Linked DNA regions of Sus scrofa. The protein of the gene in region 4 purifies or fractionates together with the protein of the main gene of each other region. This does not show direct contact. Links are inferred from orthologs where the notes say so. Each region holds a gene or a part of one and is shown on either strand. Other genes may lie near its edges.

Region 1 (4,137 bases), about 62 Mb from region 4:
AGCAGTGCATTCCCCTCTCATCACCTAAGGACTGGGACCAGCTGGTCCCCGGGCAAGTTCCGACCTGTGTTTGTGGACTCACTTCCACAGTCTGTAGGATTGTATCGTTTGTGCTTCTTGTGTCTGCCGCCTGGGGAATGAGGCTGATTTAGAGGCTTGTGCAGACTTCTTGGTGGGAGGGGCTGGTACCTGCCCACTAGTGGGTGGAGTTGGGTCTTGGCCCTTAGGTAGGCAGGGCCATGTCAAGGGGTGTGTCTAGAGGTGGCTGTGAGCTCAGAAAGTCTTTAGGTAGTGTGTCTGCTGATGGGTGGGGCTGTGTTCCTGCCTCATTGACTGGCCTGAGGTGTCCTAGCACTGGAGCCTACAGACCATTGCGTGGGGCCAGGTCTTGGTGCTAATGACCCAAGCAGGATGTCAACCTTCAGTTGGAATACTCCCGGATATTTTTGCCACCGGCTTCCACATCCCAGGAAAGAGCCACAGCCGTCCTTGAAGGGGTTACGTTTGGAGAACCACAAGTAATGATGGAGAAAAACATGTGCAGACAGGTGTGAGAACATCTGATACTCTAAACTGTCCTGTTTGAGCCACTTTGCTCATACTTTCCCTCCCTCTCTTTTCTCCCCTGTCCCCAGCCCCCACGCTTGCTTCTCTTTGTAAACCCCCCTTGTGGATCCAGAACCACCCTACATTTTGGCTTAACAGTTGGTTGAAAAGATGTAATGGATCAAATATCAATGTTTTAGTCTAGGTAAACTATATTACTAAATTACTTGTCTAATACATCGCGGTGCCCTTGGAGTGGTTCTGTGTGATTTGGAAGCAGGATTTAGAGATGCAAGGAAACTGGTGAAGCTGTTTTAACTTGCATTTCTATTTTAAGAGCTAATTTACAAAGAAGTAATGGATTGGGAAGAAAGAAACAAGAATGGTGTTGTAAAAGATCAACCTTCAGGTTAGTGATTGCTTTAATAGTTTGATTGTATATTATTTTTCTTTCCCTATTTAGTTTTTATAAGAAGCAGTGTGTTAAGTGCCAGCTTGACCAATATTGGGTTTGAAAATTTTTTCTGTGAAATAGTCTTCCCCTTTTTGGTTTGTCCCAGTGATGGCAGTGAATATTTTACTGATGGGCCAGGCAGTGAACTGTGTTAAGAACATGCTTGTTCATCTTTGTAACACTGTTGTCAGTTTTGTTTATAAGGAAATTGAATTTAAACCCTCTTTGGAGGGTGGGGGCATGCCCATGACATGTGGAAGTTCCCAGGCCAAGGATCAAACCCACACCACAGCAGCAGCCTGAGCCGCTTCAGTGACAACACCAGATCCTTAACCCATTGCACCACAAGGGAGCTTCTTAAAGCTTTTTCAATGTGTATGACCCTCTTTGTACTGGTCCTAACCAGTTAAAAAGAATATCAACGTGAATCTAGATAAAATGGAATTTACTTTTCTTTCGAGAAGATCGTTCATATAATTCTCCCATCTTTCTACTTGATCTACTTAGTGGTAGAATTCTAACCGTTAGATAATTGTGTGATTACTAGAGACATAATATATGTGGTGTTAACTTGTGTCTTGTAGAGTTTGACCTTAAACAAAACTCTTTATATTTATTTTATTATTCCACTCCTACCGGGAAATGTGCGCACACATAGACACACATAAATACAAATTGCACTTCTTATTCATGACATGTGTGTCGAGTGTCTAGAGAGTATATGAATATAATGTGAATTTAGGTGCTTTTTGTTAACAAAGCACAAATTTAAGACTGACCTCTGAGAGTCTGGATGTTTTATTTTTGCTAAAACCAGACTAAAATATAGATAGTAAGAAATGGGATGGTTTCATTTGCCTTTGGGAATTTAAAAAGCAAAAATAAAATGAACAGTGTTCTTTATAATTTTTTTCCTTTTTTTGTTTGTATGCAGTTCTTATTTTGGAAGGTATTTTTATTGTAAAAGAATTCTGCAAAGGTTGATACTTTTTTCCTTGGACTGTTTATGATTATAATTGAAATGTCTGATGACACTTGAATCCTATTTGGGATTAAACTTTTTGAGATTTTTTTTTTAGTTTTAGGATAAATTCAGCAGTTTTTTAAAAAATATCTTTTTAAAACCAGCAGATATTTTCTAAGCAGTTAACATGATTATACACAAGTACATATATGATGACTAGCCATTGGGAAGAAAAGAAATGTTGCAAGGGAAGACAGGAATATTTGGGATTTTGAGCCTAAAGAAAGACTCCAGGAAAGGTTCAAAATGTACAGTCAACTAATTTCTTGTTTATACTAATAGTTAGTACAGGAAGCTACAAAAGGAAAAAGCTGAGAAATGGCCTGAAGTCTCACTGCCTGGATTTGCAACAATGTCGTGCCTCAGATTTTATTATATTTGGTTTTCTTAGCACAGATGCAGCAGTAAGTAGCAACGCCACTCCTTCTCAGTCGTCATCTATCAATGACATTTCATCCATGTCCACTGAGCAGACCCTGGCCTCAGACACAGACAGCAGTCTGGATGCCTCAACGGGACCCCTTGAAGGTTGTCGATGATAAGTTAGAAATAGCAAGCTTGTCATCAGTGAAGGAACTCTTGCTTCCGTGGGCCTGAAATGCCTGGGAGTTGATGGAACCAAATAGAAAAACTCCATGTTCTGCATGTAAGAAACACGATGCCTTGCCCCTACTCAGTTGTACTAGGCTTGCCTTGCTTAGATTATAAAATGAAGCAGATTATGTCTGAAGAAAAAAAAAAGTGCAAACCACACTTCTAGAGATTTTGTTCAAGGTCATTTCAGGTGAGCAATTAGAATAGATTTTTTTTTTAAGTTGTATGGTAATAGTAGTGACAATTTCTCATCTTCAGTAATTGTTGGGACTTATATGCATGTGACCGCAAATGCCTGCTTGGACTTGCCCTCTAGCACTTTGAAAAACAGTATTTAAAAGCCAAATAATCTTCTAGGTAGTGCTGCTTCTAGAATTGTCTCTTAATCCTTTTAAGTAATTTGGTGTCTGTCCAGAAAAAATAGATTTATGTATATTAATTGGCTGCCATCATATTATTGTATCTTACCTTCCTTTAGGGTATGAGTTATTTTCTTTCATATTTCAGAAGGAATATAAGTAAATCTGTTAAATAAATTAAAAAATATAACTTTTCCTAAATTTGTCACATTTGGGCTGAGAATTACCACTGCTAAAACCAGGACACTTTGTTTTCTCTAAATTGTCTTAGTCTGGGTGACTGTACATTCAGCTTTACTGCATGATAAAGTTTTAAGTTTTGTTTTGTGCTGCTTAAAATATCATATACCTTTAATTCCTATGTACCCTATCTCTTTTTTCTTTGTCTTCTGAACTTCATATTTAATTTAAAATGCTATACTAGAACTTCGCCTTCTTTATTAGTCACCTAACACCCCATCTCAATATGATGGCATACACATTCTTGAACCCATCAACTGCTGGTAGAGAAAAATTTTACGAAGTGATCACTAAAGATGATTGCAGCCACTTACTAAGTGCATGCTTTGCCTGAGCCTGGACTGGGTCCTCTCTTACCTTCCATCGCTCAAGGTAAGATCCGTGATTTCACAAGGCAGAGTTTCCCTCTTCCAACACCGCATGCTTACTCGATTTTCTTTCTTTTCTGAAAGAAACCACACAAATCCCCCTTTGGTCTGTTTGAGGAAGCACGCCAATTCAGAATGCCTGTTTGTGGTTGTTTTCCACTTTATGGCGGCATTTCCTTTTCCTAAGGGAAATCCATGAATGTTCTGGGAAAACCCATCTGAAGGATATGGAGGAAATGCCCTAAAGAGTAATGATTAACTATTGAATATTTTCTGACTTAAAACTGCTCACCTGAAATTGATACTTTCAGACTTTCAATATGGAAACTATTCAAAACTCACTGAAATACTGAGTATTGAAGTGTCATTGCAGAAATGGAGTTACGATGGTCACATTTTGGCTACCTGTGCTCATAATGCTTTTCCCTTGAGCTCATTCTATTACAGATTCATATCTTGTGTTTAATTATTTTGGAAGCTATTGGGTCACCATTGTTCACATTCTATAGAATGTGTTCTGAGGAGGAACTTTGATAAGAAAGTTTATTATAA
Region 2 (3,956 bases), about 55 Mb from region 4:
TGTCCCGTGCAGCAAATGCGGCGCTCGGGGAACAAGGAGGAGAACAAGCGGATCCTCATGGACCTGGACGTGGTACTCAAGAGCCACGACTGCCCCTACATCGTGCAGTGCTTCGGGACCTTCATCACCAATGTGAGCAGGCCGCTCGCCCCATCAGGGGAGCCCTGGAAGCCTCCCGGGCTGGTCTCTGAGCTAGTCCATGTCCCCTCCCCCGCGACCTGAGCCCTAGGGTGGGGAGGAGGGTTCAGCTGCCCCCACCAAGCCACCGCCTGCTGCCCCCGCAGACGGACGTCTTCATCGCCATGGAGCTCATGGGCACGTGCGCTGAGAAGCTCAAGAAGCGGATGCAGGGCCCCATCCCTGAGCGGATCCTGGGCAAGATGACAGTGGCGGTGAGCGGCTGGCTGGGGTGCAGGCTGGCGGGCAGGTGGCCCCCAGGCCCGGTCCTGGCCATCATTGGTACCCTCCCCTGCCCACGCCGCAGATTGTCAAGGCGCTTTACTACCTGAAGGAGAAGCACGGTGTGATCCATCGCGATGTCAAGCCCTCCAACATCCTGCTGGATGAGCGGGGCCAGATCAAGCTCTGCGATTTCGGCATCAGTGGCCGCCTCGTCGACTCCAAGGCCAAAACGCGGAGCGCAGGCTGCGCAGCCTACATGGCAGTAAGTGGGGCCCAGCAGGGCCCGGTGGGCGGGTGTGAAGGGTGGGCGATGCACCTTCCCCAGCCATGGGTCCATCCACCCTCTCCCACCTCCCACCGGCAGCCCGAGCGCATCGACCCCCCGGACCCTACCAAGCCTGACTACGACATTCGGGCAGACGTGTGGAGCTTGGGCATCTCCTTGGTGAGTGGGGGCCTCTGCCTTTGGAGGCCAGGGCTAGGGTCTTCTTGGAGGTTGGACGCAGGCGGCAGGGATGGCAGAACCCTGTCCTCGGCCGGACCAACCCTGCCTATCTCTCTCTCAGGTGGAGCTGGCGACAGGACAGTTTCCCTACAAGAACTGCAAGACGGATTTTGAGGTTCTTACTAAGGTTCTGCAGGAAGAACCCCCACTCCTGCCCGGTCACATGGGCTTCTCGGGGGACTTTCAGTCCTTTGTCAAAGACTGGTGAGGAAGCAGGGCGAGGTCAGAGGTGGCCCTGTGCTCACTGCTGCTGGGCAGGGGAGGGGGGGCCCCGGATGGGGTTGGGGGCTGCAGGCAGGAGCTGGCGCCTGAGCCCTGGGAGCTGGGAGCTGGGTTTGGACTCAGCCTAAGTGGACACCGGGCCCTGTGGGTATGTGGCAGAGTGGCCTTTGCGCTCCACTGTGGGGGGCTATGAACAAGCAGAGGGTGCCCCAGGGTTCAGGGTCTGAGTGTCCTACACTGGTGAGCTGAACTGTGGGAGCAGGACATCCTTGTTGGAGCCTTCCTTGGGGGTGCCCAGCCGCTTCTCCTGCGGGGGTCTCAGTGCAGGCAGGAGCCTGTCACAGTCGGAGGGCCCGAGGGCAGACCCCAGGATCCTCTGTCAGCACAGGGCCTGGGGGCAGTGGCGGCTCCTTGCCACAGATCTTGCAGACCCAGACCCGACTCCCAACTCTCACTTCCTTTTCTCTCTCTCTTTCTAGCCTTACTAAAGATCACAGGAAGAGACCAAAGTATAATAAGCTACTTGTGAGTATCTGGGGCCCCTCTCAGCCCCCATCCTGAGCCCCTCACCCCACTGCCTGCCCAGCTGGACACCCTTGTCCTAAGCCCCCACCTTGGGCCCCACAGGAACACAGTTTCATCAGGCGCTACGAGGCGCTGGAGGTGGACGTGGCATCCTGGTTCAAGGATGTCATGGCGAAGACCGAGTCGCCTCGGACAAGCGGGGTCCTGAGCCAGCACCACCTGCCCTTCTTCAGGTAGCCACGTGGCGGTGGCCAGCCTGCCGGGGGCCAAGGGTGCGGCCACAGGCCCCCCTTCCCCACTGGGTTACCCAGCTGCCTGCCAGGGGAGCCCTGGGACCTGGACAGCCGCTGAGGGCTGAGGACAGAAAGTAGGGGGCGCCGACCCACCCCCGACTCCCTGCCCACCAGCCATGGACAGACGGGCCCGTCAGGCCCCAGCACTTCCCGTCCCGGGGTCAGCCGGCCGTGCGCGTCCCCCCCCCCCGCCCCCCGAACCCCGACAGACACTGTGAACGGAAGACAGCAGGCCGCGAGCAGACTCGCTATTTATTCAGTTGTAACCTCTGGGCTGGGGCGGCCCCAGGGGCCAGGAGAGAGCCGCCCGTCTGCACCCTCCAGCACTCACTGCGCTGTCCCCACTGCCGCCCCATGCACGTGCACCCCGGCCCCACCTTCCTCTCTGTCACCTCCCTCTACCTCTCTGGCTTTCCCCATCTCCCTCCCTGGCTCTGCTTCTCTCCTGGCCCAGGCCCGGGCTCTGCCACCCCTGGCAAGACCCTGGGTCCGCTTAGGTGTCTGGCAAGCAATGAGTCTGTTGGCTGGCGTTCCTGTGGACGCTGCGACTGCAGCCGGGCCCGGGCTGGTCTCTTTCTCTCTCTCTTTTTGATCTCAGGGGGTCCTTTTTGGAGTTTATTGTATTTTATTGTACTTGGTGGGGTGTTTGGGGGGTGGGGGGCGGAGAAGAGCTTGTTCTTAATGGGGTTTGTCGGTACCTTCAGAAACTTTTACCAAAGTCATGTTTAGCTGCTTGTGGTGGAAGCCCCCCCCAACCCCGACTGCCTGTCGGGGCTCGGGGGCTGGGGCTGGGGGCCGAGCCATGGGGGCCTGGGCCACCACCCAGGAGAGACTAGTCCCAAAGGTGGGCTCCGGGGGGGCTCCTCCCTTGGGGCTGGAGACTGGCCACAGCTTGGTGGGGTGAATCGAAGACCTCAGGGGTGGAGAGAGCCCAAAGGGCCTCGGCCACACAGGGTGGCCTTCAGGGAAGGCAGGCGCGGGGCGTGGTGGAGGGCAACAGGTGCTGGTGCGGCAGGGAGGCGGCACAGGGAATGGGTGACAGGAGTGGGGTCCGTGGGGCCCAGGGAGGCAGGGATTGAGGGTGCAGGGAGTGGATGTATGGGTTTGAGAATGTGTGACAGGGACAGAGGTGGGGCAGGCCGAGGGCTGGGCGTGTGGAGGTGGTCACGCCCTTGCAGTGGCCCTGAGCGCCCCTCGACTCACCCAGAGCTGGCCAGTCCCCAGCCCACCCTGAGGCCCCGGGCCCCAGCATCCCCGGGGTTCTGCGCAGCAGCCAGAGCGAGCGGGAGGGGGTGTGTTTCCTTTTTGTTGGTGATGCATGCAAATCAAGTGGACAACGAAACAAAATAGCAAAAAAAAAAAAAAAAAAAAAAAAAAACCATAAAAACCAACCAACGCCAAAGGTGAGGAACCTCGCTGGTTGTAGCTGAAGCAATCTAGACTAGGCATCACTGGACCCTCCATTTGTCCCATGACTCGAGTTACTACTAGGATAGTCACAAATGCCGCATGTTTAAAAAGTACTCGCAGTCATCTTCTCTCTGCCCCTGCGCCGCCCCCCCCCCCGGGGGGGGTGGCCACCTTCTCTCTCTCTCCAGTCCCTTTTGTGAGGGGAGGGGGCAGGGTGAGGGGCCAACAGGCCTGGCCCCTGCTCTCCCTTGCCAGGCCAGGCCCAGCCCCGGGGGCCTTTGTGGATGGCTGGGAAGGTCGCGTGGCTGGCCCCAGGGCCTGCGCAGGCCCAAGGCCAGCTGCCTGGGTTTATTTTTTATTTAACTTGATTTTCTGTTTTGTGTGTGTCCACCCGTCCCCCCGCCCCCACCCTTCAGTGTTAAGTGGGAGCCTCTCCCCACCTGCCTCTCCCATGTCCCACCCCTACCCCAAGTCACCAGTCACCAGCCATCCCTCTGGACCAGGCAGAGGGCAGAGCGGGCAGTAAGGGGCCTGGCGTGGCCTGGCCCAGCCCACAGGTCCATGACCCCTTCTCAGGCCACCAGTATTGCCCCCATTCC
Region 3 (3,485 bases), on a different chromosome or scaffold from region 4:
CAGGCCAGGAACTCCATATGCCTCAGGGTGGCCAAAAAGGAAAAAAGACCCTGCTTTCGGCTCTTTGGGGTGATCTGTGTACCCAGGAGCGGAACTGCTGGGTCGCGTGCCACTCTGTATTTTAATTTCTTGGGGAACCTCCATACAGTCTTCCAGAGGCTGCACTATCTCTCGTTCCTGCCAGACGTGGACAGGCTTCCAGTTTGATGCATTTTTTTCTATCTGAAATCTGGGTCCAAAGTCTTGTTTAGTAGGTAGCATTTGCTGTGGTTTGGGTATCCCCAAAAGCTGTGTCCTGGAGCCTGTCAAAACGGAGGTAGTGAGGGACCACCCGGCGGAGAACCAGGCTGCTCTGGATGCCCTCGGCCCCATGCTCCTTGCAGCCGCCCCACCCCAAGGCCTTATGGTCAGAATCAGCTGCCGCGGAGCCTGGGGAGACAGGCAGCTCTGCCCCCTCCCCCAGGCCCGGGCGCCAGGTCCGGCAAACGTCGTGCCCTGTGACGGTCCCCGCGTCCTGGCCACACCTGCGAGGTTGAGTCCACCAGGGACAGGAAGAGCAGCAGGCTCGTGCTGGGCAGCTGGTTCCTCTCCGCGCCCACCAGGTGGCGCCCGCGGCACGTCCTGCCCTCCCGTGCCGCCAGACTCGGCGCGGGTCCTAGGGCGGGGCACCTGGGTAACGCCTTCCCCCCCGCAGGTTGCTTTTTCGCACCTCCTCAGGTCCCAGGGCCTGGCGGTGGCCCTGTCTCGACCTTGGCCAGCTCTGGGCCCTTCAGGGTCCCGGTCCTTCCCCGTGACCAGGATCTGCTGGATGGACAGGGCTGGTGCGCAGGTGGCCGTGCAGTCTGGGTGGCCTTCTCGGGGCGTGGGACTGGGGCGAAGCCACCGAGTCCTGCCAGAGCTGCGTGGGGGACACCTATCCTCGTAGGCTGCCCTCGGGACCGCGAGGCAGGAGGGACAGGGCCCTCCACACCAGTGGGCCGGCCACCTAACTAAACAAGCCACGGAGTTGAAAAGCAAGTTTTATTGAGGAATTTGGAGGGAAAGTCTCATAATAGTAAAAATACTAAAGTTGAATATAAAAAACCGCCGTGGTGCAGCGTAGCGTCTGGCCGGAGGGCGGAGCGATGGCCCCTGCAAAGGGCGTGGGGCGGGGCCGCGGCGACAGCGGGAGGGTGAAGCTTCTATGAGGACAATTGCTAACCAGGGGAGCCATCGGATGGGATGGTCCCAACGGGCAGGGGCAGAGGGGGGCTTCCTTCTGAGATGAAGCCCCCAGGACGCGCGTGAACAGAGCAGGATCTCGCCCGGCCCAGCCCCACGCAGGGGCCGCCCGCCTCCAGCCCCGGCCAGGCCCCGGCCGGCGCTCCTGGCCCGGCTTGCTTCCGGGCCGAGTCGGTGCGGCCGGGAGCGCGGGCGAGGCCCACCCGGCCCGAGAGCGCGCGGCGCGTGGCCGCGCCTGGAGAACCGGATGAATAAATTAGGAAAAACTGCAGGGCGTTTTCCTCCCGGCCCGGCTGGAGGCTGGGGAGGCGGCCCGGGGCCGGGCGGGCAGCCCCCGCCACAGCCGCCACAGCGCGAGCCGCGCATCCCTGGTGGGAGGAGCAGCCCGGTGCGGCCCAAACGCGTCCAGAAACAAAACCCATTAAATACAGGAGGTCCGAGCGCGGCTTCCCGCCTCCCTTCGAAGCCGTCGTCCGGAGAGCGCGCCCGGCTGGCCGCCTCAGGCCGTGCCGCTGGCCGAGTAGGAGAACTGGGGGAAGTGAGGCCTCCGCTCGCTGTCCACGCCCTCCATGCTGTCGTCTGCGGGCACGCGCGGGGCGGCTCAGAGCCCGGGCACCAGCGAGACCCCAGCGCCCGGCAGGCTCGCCTCCTCGCCCCGCGAGGCCCTCCTGCCGCGGCCGCCACCCCCCAAAGGCAGCCTTCCCGAGGGCCGCTGGACGGCCGGCCTCCCACCGAGGGCAGCGCCGAGGGATGGTGCGCGCGCGCGCCCGGGGGAGCGGAGGGGAAGGCGCGGCCCTCACCTTGGTCGGGCGGCGTGATGGTGATCATCTGCGCCGTGAACTCCTCGTCGAAATACCTGGTGTCCGTCTCGGACGTGACCTGAGGCTTGAACGGTGGGCTGAGCTGCGGAAAGGGGGGCTGGGTTACAGACCCGGACCCGCCCGGACCACGGCCCCCAGGGAGCTGTGCCCCTGGCTTGGGAAATGACTCCTGTCTCCCAGGGGACGGTGTCCAGGCAGCCGTCCCCACCCACAGGCAGAGTTCTGGAAGGAGACCTGCACAGGAGGGGACCCACCTAGGGCCTAGGTGGGTGCCCCTCAACCAAGAGCCCGCAAGCAGTGTCACGGCGCCCCTGCAGGTGATAGGAGGCAGTGCAGCCCAGCTCCGAGGACCCCACCCCCGGGGCAGAAGGGGCCCTGGCCACTTTTCTTTCTCCAGCGCTCCTATTTTCCTTTCCGGGTGTCTCAGAAACCGCCGGCAGGCCCAGGCTGCAGAGGCTAATGCCAGACAAGGGGAGGGCAGGGCTCGGGGGCCCACTGCCACCCGGGAGGGGGCCCCGGAGCAGCCGGCCACTGCCCCCTGCCCAGGGCCTGTGCCAACCCCACCAGGTGCCCTGGGGAGGGAGGGGGATGCGATGCCCAAGCCCCGCCCAGGAGATGTGGATGGGGCCCCGCCCTCCCCTGCCCGCTTCCCCTCGGGGGGCCTGGTCCTTCAGGGGTCCACCGGAGGGAGTCTGGTGCCTCACTCGCAGCTCCCGGGTAGCAGAGTGGCCCTGAGCGTGGCCACAGGCAGGACTCCCAACGACGCGGAATGAGAGGCCAAGTGTAAGGGGCCAGGCTGGGGGGAGAAGCAAGCGCCCCACCCCACCCCCACCAGGGCCCTGGCCTGGGGGTGGGGCTGCCCTGGGAACTAGCAGGGACCAACAGGGTGGGCACTGCAGCCCCCAGAGGGCAGGCCCCTGGCCTGGAGCTGAGCAGGGTGGGGCACCCATCTCTCAGGGGCTAGAGGCCCAGCCGGCTGCGTGTGGCCTGCAGGCGAGGGAGACTGGAAATGGGGGCGAGGTGTGCTTGTGACAGGACGTCAACGAGCCCGGGGACATCCCCCTCCTGCCCCCAGCCTGCTGGGCCAGGGCCTGGGGCTCCCGAGTCCCTCAGAGGCAACGGGCAGAGGCACATGTTTAGGAAGAAGCTGCCTCGCTCCTCAGGGGCCTCCTCACGTGTGGGTGAGCAGGTGTGTGTGTGCAGGTGTGTGAGCAGGTGTGAGCCTGTGTGTGTGCAGGTGTAGGGTGTGTGAGACCAGGTGTGCCAGCAGGGGTGGGGGTGGGAGCAGGTGTGTGAGTGGATGTGCGTGTAAGCGTGTGTGTGCAGGTGTGCCACCGTGTGGGGGTGGAGGTGAGAGCCTGAGTAAGGGTGTGGCTGGGGGGGGCCGGCCCACAGGCCCCCACGCACCTTCTTCTCATACACATCCTGCCACACGATGCTGGC
Region 4 (4,137 bases):
TGAGGATGGGCAGACACAGATCGGGCACCTCTGGGTCAGACATCCCCATGGTCCTGCAGCTGTCCGGTGCTGGCTGAGTGGCAGGGCTGCCCTCTCTGGGTCTGGCCAGGCGGCCAGTGTGCATTGACCATCTGCTTAGTGCCCACCTCTGGGTTCTCCTCCCAGGGCCAGAGATGCCACCCTGCACCAGCCGGACAGAGCAGGGCTGCCCTGGCTTCGGGCTGGGCTCCCTCCCCAGAGACCCCTGATTCCACACCATGCCCACCCCCAGCCCTGGGAAGCCACCATCCTCGGGCTCCAGGTCAGAAGGGGCCTGAAAGAGCACTTTGTCCATCCAGCCCCCTGGCGCTGGTCAGAATCCCACTGTGCCCCTTGCCATTCCCTCTAGGGGCCTCCCGGCTTATGTCGCCCCGCCCCGCAGTGGCAGGAGACTCCTTCCCTCCCTTCCCTCCAGGGCCCGCACACCCCTCGCCCTGGCCTGTGCCTCTAGGCACTTCCTGGGTGGGTGCTGAAGTCTGAAGCCCCAAGAAGGGGGCAGGGTTCTGGCTGCACTCAGGCAGGCAATAGAAGCAGCCCCGACCCACCCCAGGCAGCCCTGTGTGGACGCCGCCTGGGCCCACAGAAACCTCCCTGATGGGGTGTGGGGGCTGAGCGAGTAGCTGTGGAGATGGGGCATCCACTTCTGGAGAATTTCAGAACCCCCTCCCCCAGTCTGGCCACCGTGAACCCTAATTGTGGTGCTGGCCCTTTAAAGCAGATCAGGGGCTGGCTTTTGGGGGGAAATATCCCAGATTTCTGCCATCTGCTTAGAAGCCTGGACCAGGGAGGGGGGCCACCCCATCCCCCGACAGGGGCATTGGAAGGGCAGGTGGAGCCGGTAGCATCGATTGCAGTAACCTGATCCCGCGGGGGAGGCGACAACGGCAGCGGCAGCGCAAAGGCCGGGGGAGGAAGCTGCCTGCAGCTGAAGGCTGGCTGGGAAGAGCTGGGGCCAGGCCGGTCCGCAACCGCTGCCTCTTCCCCCAGCCCATCTATTTTTAATGAGCTCCCCGGGCGTCTGCAGCGGGCAGGACGCAGAAAGGCAGGCCCAGGCTGTGGAGGCCCGAGGCCCCAGCCCTGCCCCGAGCCCTGGCCCCCCCACCCTTCTGGGCATGAGAGGGCGGCCCCGGGGCTCTGCAGCCCCCGGGCCGGGCAGGGCTCTCCATGCAGCTGGTGCTGAAGATGGATTCGAGCCCAGACAATGACAGCTGGTTGGAGGATCAGTGGGAGCGCTGGTAGGGGTGCGGGGACCGGTGGGGGAGGGGGGAGCTCCACTGAGCTCTGGGTCTCTGTTGGTCGGGTTGAGGCAAGAGGCCGGGGTGTGGGCCTCCGAGGTTCCCCTGGGGCTGAGCCCGTGACCTTTCCTAAGTGACCTTGGACCGGGGGGTCTCCCTTGCTGTGTGCCTCAATCGCCTCGTCTTATTGAGGAAAAGACTCAATTCTCCCCAACTTCCTTAGCAGAATTCTCCCAGTGTCCCTCCCACATTGAAGCCTGCAGAGTGTCTGGGGCTGGGGGGCTGGAGAGGTGAGGGGACCCGCAGGGAGCTCAGTGGCTGGGACAGCCCCGCCCTGGGGGGCTTTTAGGGCGGGCCGGTGGGTGGGGGTGGGGTGGGGGGGTGGGGAGAGGGTCCCAGGACACCCAGTTAGAGATTCGATGCTGAAGCGCTGAAGCGCTTGGGTCTGCCTCTGAGCCCAGGCCACCTCCACCTTCCCTGACCCCCGCTGTTCAGGGCCCAGAGGCTGGGGCAGGAGGATTGGGGGTGTGCGCTGATGGGACCAAGAACAGAATGGGGCACGGTCTTTCCTAGAACAGCTAAAACCACCCACATTGACCCCTGCATTCCCGTGCCTCGCTCCCAGGGCTTATGAGGCATGGGACTTCCTGGGCTGGGGACATGGAGTGCTGCTCCAAGGTGGAGCAGGGCCTCTGCCAGTACCTCAGGTTTGGTCACGGCACAGATTGTACAGGGAACCCCCACTCCAGGCATCCTTTGGAGACTCTTCTCATCTCTCTCTGTCCCCTCTGTGGCTGAACTGGCCTTGGCACCTGCCTTGACCCTGGAAGCCATTTCTCTGGCAGAGCCTCAGCTCTGACCAGCTGGGCCTTCTAGGCAGGGCCTCCTGCTTGGCAGCAGGGTGGACATCTCCCAGCCCAGAGGAGCTGGAATAACCCGGGGCCTCCCTTTCCACTGCCCCCCCCCCCCGGAGGCCTGCCTTTTGACTCGAGCCCCAAACTCTTTCCCTTTCTGTTCAGTACCCCTTGCACTGGTGCAGGGGGAGCCCAGGTCCCATCCTCTGGGGGCTGCGATCTGCCTTCGAGGGGCTGTCCCTTGGAAGAGCTATTAGGGAGACATCAGAAGGCCTCAGTCCGCTGACAACAGTCCCTTGAGTGGTAACTCTGGCTTTCTGTCCCCATCAGGCTCACCCATGACATCAGCCTGGAGGAGTTTGAAGATGAAGACCTTTCCGAGATCACTGATGAGTGTGGCATCAGCCTGCAGTGCAAAGACACCCTGTCCTTACGGGTAAGGGCGGGCTCTCAGGAGCCCCTGAGTGGGGTGGCAGAATGGGTAGGGACAGGAGTGAGAGCGCTTCTATATCTAGAGGGGCTTTCCGCGTCTGCGTGGCATTCTCATTAAATGAAATAACATGCAGGAAACATGCAGTGTGATGCTTGGCTCCTATCTTGATGGCTCAGATTTTTTAAATTATTTATATATTTTGCCAAGGGCAAAGGCAGGAAGCAGCTCCTTCAACTGCCCAGAAGGAAGAGAGCAGGAAGTCTTGAGGTCTAGGACAGTAGCAGTTAGGGCCAGAATTAAGGGAAGGTTTGGGACTCCCCTAATTCCTTTCCAGAGCGGCCATGGCAGAAGTCCTGAGGCAGAGCAGGGTGGAGTCTGGCAGAACCTGCAGTGCTTTGGGGCAGGACAAAAGAGCCAAGGCACTCCCTTGGCCACCACTGCACCAAGCACACCCCACAGCCTCGCAGACCCTCTCTGGCCCACAAAGGAGGCCTCTGGAAGGTTAATCCAACATTGCTGCTGCTTTGGGCCCCATGCCTTTGTCACAGGACAGATGGCTCCCACTCCCAGAGTTCTGAATCCCACAGGAGGTGGGGATCCTGGGCTGGATGGGGATTCTCCCTTGTCTTTCCAGAACAGGAAGAAGGGGCTGCTAGCCAGGAGAGGGAAGGCAAGCACAAGTCTAGGTTGCAGAGCCCAGAGCTTCTCTCAGCTCCTGGGAGGGTGGGTGGCCCTAGTAGACACGGTGTTGGGGGAATGGTTAGCAAAGGAGAGCTGCAGTGAGTTGGGTGGGGTGCCTGTGTTGACCTTTTCTTGCCCCCAGAGATTCTGCAAGCTCTGCCAGGCCAAAGGAAACCAAAGGGTGAGGCTAACCCTCCAGTACCCTGTACCCCAACCCACCACCCTCTGGCTAGGCCAGGCAGGGATGGAGAGAGAGGCTTTTTTTTTTTTTTTTTTTTTTTTTGCTTTTCAGGGCCGCACCCGTGGCATGTGGCGGTTCCCAGGCTAGGGGTCAGCCTTCGCCAGAGCCACATGCGGGATCTGAGCCACGTCTGCGACTTACGCCACAGCTCACAGCAACGCTGGATCCTTAACCCACTGAGTGAGGCCAGGGATCAAACCAGCCACCTCATCGTTACTAGTCGGATTCGTTTACCGCTGTGCCACAACAGGAACTCCAAGGCCATTTATTGTGGACCAGCATAGCTTCTCTAAGGTCATACACCTGTTGGGGACTCCCACACTGTGCTCTCCCCAGACTTACACAAGCTGAGCCTTGAAGAGGGAGAGGGTGGTCCTTGCAACCCGCAGGACCCTGAGGCAGTACCCTGTGGGGCCTTAGACAAGCTCCAGGGGGCTTTCACATAGTATTGCCAGTGAGTCCTCACCTCTCTGGGAAGCTGGTAGGCAGTTAACTGGTGAGGGACCTGGAGAGTCGGGGGATCTCTCCAAGGTGTCAGGGAGTTCATGGCAGAGCTGGAACTAAAACGGGACTCTTAACTGTCAAAGTTAGGCTGGCCTGAGAGAAAATGTCAGGTTGGAGGGGCCTCAACCTGAGGACGGGGGAGGGTGGGGA
Region 5 (4,803 bases), on a different chromosome or scaffold from region 4:
CTGAAATAGGAAAGTCTGTGTCACTCACTCTTCAGTTACCCTGCCTGCTTGTGGAGCTGTTGTACATAAATGTTAATGTTGGAAAGAGACAGTCCCATGCTTCTCTTGCAAGTCGTTATGGCAATTTTATTCTCTTTTGAAATATGAACAAAACCTAAATAGTTGGATAAAATTGGCGGGTTGTTTGAATTAACCCATTTAACTCTTTTGACATGAAATTGAGTCACAGATTCCGTATTATCCATGTGTGTCATATACTCCCATCAATAACATCTCTAATTTTCTTCAGTGATTCTTATTGGGAGGGGTGGGATGGGCGGCTCACATTTGAACCCACACTAATTGAAGATGATCCACTGAAACAAAATGTGTCTCTTGTTTTCACCCTTTCCCTTTTAGGGAACACTGGTGTTGCTGGAATCTACACAGCCTTAAGTAAACTTAATATGATCCAGGAAAGAAAGAGATGGGTTTGATTAGGTAGAGGCAGTTAAGACTGAATTTAAAATAGAAATATTTTAAAGGTCCCACATCACTGTTTGTTTTTAATTAAATAAGGCTTACATGCTTTAGTACATTATGTTCTAGTCCCATTTATAGCCGATGTAAATTGTAGGTATGAGAGTATGGTTGTATTCTAATTATTTGTATTTGAATGTCCTCTTTTTTTACCTTTTAAATTCAAAAATTACCAGTAACAATAACTTTTCTTTTACTTTGGGGAAAATAGTACCAGCACCTCATGCATGCTTTCTTGCTTTTCGTTTGTAACTATTTATGACAAAAAATAAATAAAATACATGCTGTAATTCCAGATACCAATGGATCAGATAATTCCATCCCAATGGCTTATCTTACACTGGATCACCAACTACAGGTAAAGGAGTACTTTCTTAGCGAAGTTTACTTTTTCCTTTTTAGAGAAGTTTACCTTTAAAGCTGATGGTTGTGTTCCTATCTGTCACTTTATATCCATTTATTTATGCTTTTAGTTGGCCTCTTTATTTTAAAATCAAGTTAAAATAAGTGATTCTTAGTTAAGTTAATCAAATTAAAATTGCCAAATCAGATGTTCCTATTCTAGCAATCATCTTAAAATATCCATATCTTTGTTCAGGACTGCCAAGAATAATGTTTTTGCTCCTTATTTTTAGCACATTATAATATAAAATTCATATAAGCTTATTTCTGCTTAATAGATTTTGTGGTAATTTGGCATGTTCATGGTGACTGAAAATATAAATAATATACTTCAGTGTCTCTCAAATGAGAGCTATAAACATCTTTCAGTATAATAAAGTTTGACAGTCTGAAACATAAAACCACAGTCCCAGAGTACTCTAGTTGTGGCTCTCCGTAACAATGAAAGTGTTAAAACAGCAAGTGTAAATTTAAGATCTGAGTTAATGCTGACAAAAGGACACAGATTTTCTAGGCCTACTTTAACACATATTTTTAAATGATCATTGCTTTAGTGCTATAAAAAAAAAAATCACAGTCTCTGTCTTAACTCTCAGCTAGATAATTGAGATTTGATCTAATTATGTTTTAACATTTCTTGATTTATTTTCAGCCTCTAGCACCATGCCCAAACTCCAAAGAATCTATGGCAGTGTTTGAACAGCATTGTAAAATGGCACAAGAATATATGAAAGTCCAAACAGAAATTGCATTATTATTACAGAGAAAGTAAGTTGTCTTTATGAATAAAAATAAAACATCAGTATTTGGAGTTTAAATTAAAGTGCATCATTGCTTAGGACATGAAAACTGTAAGTTTTAAGCACCCATTGGCTAATTGTTCATGCAAAAATTCAACTCTTTTGACTATATCTTATATTAGGAAAACATAACTAAGGAAAATAAACTGGTACTTATGACCATTGTTTGATGTTTTCAGCATTTTTAAGTTAAAAGCTGCTTAGATTTATTGTTTAGGAAGATTTATTGTTTTCTTAGACACAGATAAAACAATTTGATATATAATGTTCCGTTGTGATTTATCCTAGAAGCATTTTTGTAGATAATATATTCTTTCCAGGTGTATGTTGAAGAGAGTAGAATTACTTAACTAGTGGCTTTATTTCATACTTGTGAGTGTTTTTCTGGGAGATAGACTGCCTTCCTCCCCTTTTCAATGCAGTCCCATTTCCATACTTCTCTACTGAGATTCTTAAAAACAATATTTCAGTCTTTTTAAGCATGACCTTTATGAAATTTTATACCTATGAAGCTGATTTATGGTGGTACTTCCAAAGGGAACAAAAATAGTTTTTTCACAATTTACTAATAAAATGATTTTAGATAAATTTACCTTAATATTTTAAAGGTAAGGCTGATAGGAAATTAGAGACTGCAAACTGTAGTACTAATTATAGAACTGTCATTTTATATTAAGATTTTTTAAAAACTCTGTCATCACATATTTAATCTTTATTCTTTCACACTTTAAATCATTTGAGAGAAGAGTTTTATGCTGGAAAAAAAATGGTGTAATGGGGGCACTGTGAAAACTATGACAGTTTTAATTGATTTTAAATACTTTGGATAAGAAACATTACTAGTAAATTTTTATTTGAGGACTTTTCATTAATTATTCAGTTATATCCAGTGGTCTCACTTAATGAGCTGATATATAATATCCCCCAAACAAAGAAATTTATCAGGCTATAAAAGACTCTGAGGATCTTTCCTGAAAATATTTGCAAAAGTGAGTGTTTTAAGAGTGGTACTTTGTATTCTTCTCTTTTTTTTTGTCTTTTTGCCTTTTCTAGGGCCACTTCCTGTGGCATATGGAGGTTCCCAGGCTAGGTGTCTAATTGGAGCTGTAGCCACCGGCCTACACCAGAGCCACAGCAACGCGGGATCCGAGCTGTGTCTGTGACCTACACCACAGCTCATGGCAACGCCGGATCCTTAACCCACTGAGCAAGGCCAGGGATCGAACCCGCAACCTCATGGTTCCTAGTCGGATTCGTTGACCGCTGCACCACGACAGGAACTCCTCTTCTCATTATTTTAAAGTAGGAAAGAGATTTCAGTTGGATAGCACCTATTTTATTTATTTATTTATTTATTTTGTCTTTTTAGGGCCACACCCGAGGAATATGGAGGTTCCCAGGCTGGGGGTTGAATCAGAATTGTAGCCACGGGCCTATGCCACAGCCACAGCAACATGCCAGATCCAAGCCACATCTGCAACCTACACCACAGCTCATGGCAATGCCAGATCCTTGCTTGACCCGCTGAGCGAGGCCAGGGATTGAACCTGAAACCTCATGGTTCCTAGTTGGATTCATATCCGCTGCGCCATGATGGGAACTCCCGAGAGCATCTATTTTAATTAGCTTGCAGATGTTCTGTTAACTACTATTTGGCACTGTAGTTAAATAGGATTGTGACTTTGGAATATGAATACATGAGTATAGAAGTAGAATGTGCATGATAGAAACTTCAAGTGTTATATCCCTGTAGCCAGTTAAAGCCTTTCCCAGTCTTTTTTCTTCCCTCCTACACAAAAGGGATACCAAATGAAATTTTCTGCAACTTTTATTATACCATTTTATCCATTTTCAGTATTTACCTAAATACAGTTGCCTGTTAAAAGGATTATGATATTTGTATGGTTACAGCAGAAGAGTGGATGATAGTTTCCATTCCAGCTCATAATTATATTTGAGTAGTGTAACTAAGGTTCATAATGATAAACGCAGAATAAAAGCTCTAATTAATTGAAATTGAGATTCCATCATCAGTTATTAAGGTATGAATTTTTCCATCATGTGTAATATGCTGTATTTGTTTTTAGGCAAGAACTAGTTGCAGAACTGGACCAGGATGAAAAGGACCAGCAAAATACATCTCGGCTGGTACAGGAACACAAAAAGCTTTTAGATGAAAACAAAAGCCTTTCTACTTACTATCAGCAATGCAAAAAGCAACTAGAGGTCATCAGAAGTCAGCAGCAAAAAAGACAAGGCACTTCATGATTCTCTGGGACCGTTAAATTTTAAAATATGCAAAGAAAGACTCTTTTTTAAGGAAAGAAAGACCCTTATAATGACAATTCATGAGTGTTAGCTTTTTGGCGTGTTCTGAATGCCAGCTGCCTGTATTTGCTGCATTTGTTTCATCGTTTATTTTCCTTTTCTCATGGTGGACATGCAGTTCACCTGTCTCCTTGCATAACACGGGGGCATCTGTACTTGAATAAGCAGCAGTTCTCAACTTCACAACAGATGCAGTGAACCGTGGCTGTATACGCATGCTCGTTGTGTGAAGGCTAGCCTAACAGAAACAGGGGTATCAAACTAGCTGCTATGTGCAAACATCGTCTTTTTTTCCGAGGTGGAACCTCAAGAATGATTTTGTTCTTGTATCTCATCTCAAAAAAAAAAAAACAATATTTTTTTTTTCCAAAAGATGGCATATACCAAGTTAAAGACAGGGTATTATAAATCTAGAATAATTGGTGGTACATTATTGAAATACAGAACTTTAGTGATAGTTGGGAGTAAGGGCTTTGATGCCAGCATCCTTGGATCAGTAATGAACTTTATCCATAAAATATTTAAAGGTAAGTGGCGGCTGCTGTATTTAATAGAAGCATATTTCATTAGACTAAAATTTGACTATGATACATTGAACAAAATGGAACTTTTTTTTAAAATATAAAGATTTTTAATTCTGTGATTGCGTGTATGTGTGCTGAAACTGTAAAGTTTTTATGATTCTAATATTAATAGCCCTGAAATGAAATTAAAAGGTTAATGAACATGATCCAGCTTAAATGATCATTCCTTC

Evidence for each region.
Region 1: the proteins of MAPK8IP1 (region 4) and MAPK9 purify together in Homo sapiens (affinity purification with western blotting; 4 studies listed by BioGRID and IntAct, counting the BioPlex papers as one, with this or other methods). This does not show direct contact. The link is inferred for Sus scrofa from reciprocal best matches to the Homo sapiens genes MAPK8IP1 and MAPK9.
Region 2: the proteins of MAPK8IP1 (region 4) and MAP2K7 purify together in Homo sapiens (affinity purification with western blotting; 3 studies listed by BioGRID and IntAct, with this or other methods). This does not show direct contact. The link is inferred for Sus scrofa from reciprocal best matches to the Homo sapiens genes MAPK8IP1 and MAP2K7.
Region 3: the proteins of MAPK8IP1 (region 4) and AKT1 purify together in Homo sapiens (affinity purification with western blotting; 3 studies listed by BioGRID). This does not show direct contact. The link is inferred for Sus scrofa from reciprocal best matches to the Homo sapiens genes MAPK8IP1 and AKT1.
Region 5: the proteins of MAPK8IP1 (region 4) and MAP3K7 purify together in Homo sapiens (pull-down; 3 studies listed by BioGRID and IntAct, with this or other methods). This does not show direct contact. The link is inferred for Sus scrofa from reciprocal best matches to the Homo sapiens genes MAPK8IP1 and MAP3K7.

What each region holds. Positions count from the first base shown.
Region 1 is NC_010444.4:78,393,474-78,397,610, forward strand, and holds part of MAPK9 (mitogen-activated protein kinase 9), read left to right. Parts: intron 1-883; coding exon 884-955; intron 956-2,415; coding exon of another isoform or gene 2,416-2,420; coding exon 2,421-2,563; 3' UTR 2,564-4,137. UniProt on the Homo sapiens protein: Serine/threonine-protein kinase involved in various processes such as cell proliferation, differentiation, migration, transformation and programmed cell death.
Region 2 is NC_010444.4:71,298,389-71,302,344, reverse strand, and holds the end of MAP2K7 (dual specificity mitogen-activated protein kinase kinase 7), read left to right. Parts: intron 1-12; coding exon 13-132; intron 133-284; coding exon 285-392; intron 393-484; coding exon 485-847; intron 848-968; coding exon 969-1,111; intron 1,112-1,608; coding exon 1,609-1,654; intron 1,655-1,756; coding exon 1,757-1,891; 3' UTR 1,892-3,335; downstream 3,336-3,956. UniProt on the Homo sapiens protein: Dual specificity protein kinase which acts as an essential component of the MAP kinase signal transduction pathway. Essential component of the stress-activated protein kinase/c-Jun N-terminal kinase (SAP/JNK) signaling pathway.
Region 3 is NW_018084979.1:3,039,274-3,042,758, forward strand, and holds the end of AKT1 (RAC-alpha serine/threonine-protein kinase), read right to left. Parts: coding exon 3,450-3,485; intron 2,125-3,449; coding exon 2,022-2,124; intron 1,801-2,021; coding exon 1,721-1,800; 3' UTR 1,004-1,720; downstream 1-1,003. UniProt on the Homo sapiens protein: AKT1 is one of 3 closely related serine/threonine-protein kinases (AKT1, AKT2 and AKT3) called the AKT kinase, and which regulate many processes including metabolism, proliferation, cell survival, growth and angiogenesis.
Region 4 is NC_010444.4:16,570,887-16,575,023, reverse strand, and holds part of MAPK8IP1 (C-Jun-amino-terminal kinase-interacting protein 1), read left to right. Parts: intron 1-899; exon of another isoform or gene 900-1,203; coding exon of another isoform or gene 1,204-1,274; intron 1,275-2,458; coding exon 2,459-2,564; intron 2,565-4,137. UniProt on the Homo sapiens protein: The JNK-interacting protein (JIP) group of scaffold proteins selectively mediates JNK signaling by aggregating specific components of the MAPK cascade to form a functional JNK signaling module. Required for JNK activation in response to excitotoxic stress.
Region 5 is NC_010443.5:58,484,196-58,488,998, reverse strand, and holds the end of MAP3K7 (mitogen-activated protein kinase kinase kinase 7), read left to right. Parts: intron 1-815; coding exon 816-877; intron 878-1,573; coding exon 1,574-1,689; intron 1,690-3,808; coding exon 3,809-3,989; downstream 3,990-4,803. UniProt on the Homo sapiens protein: Serine/threonine kinase which acts as an essential component of the MAP kinase signal transduction pathway. Plays an important role in the cascades of cellular responses evoked by changes in the environment.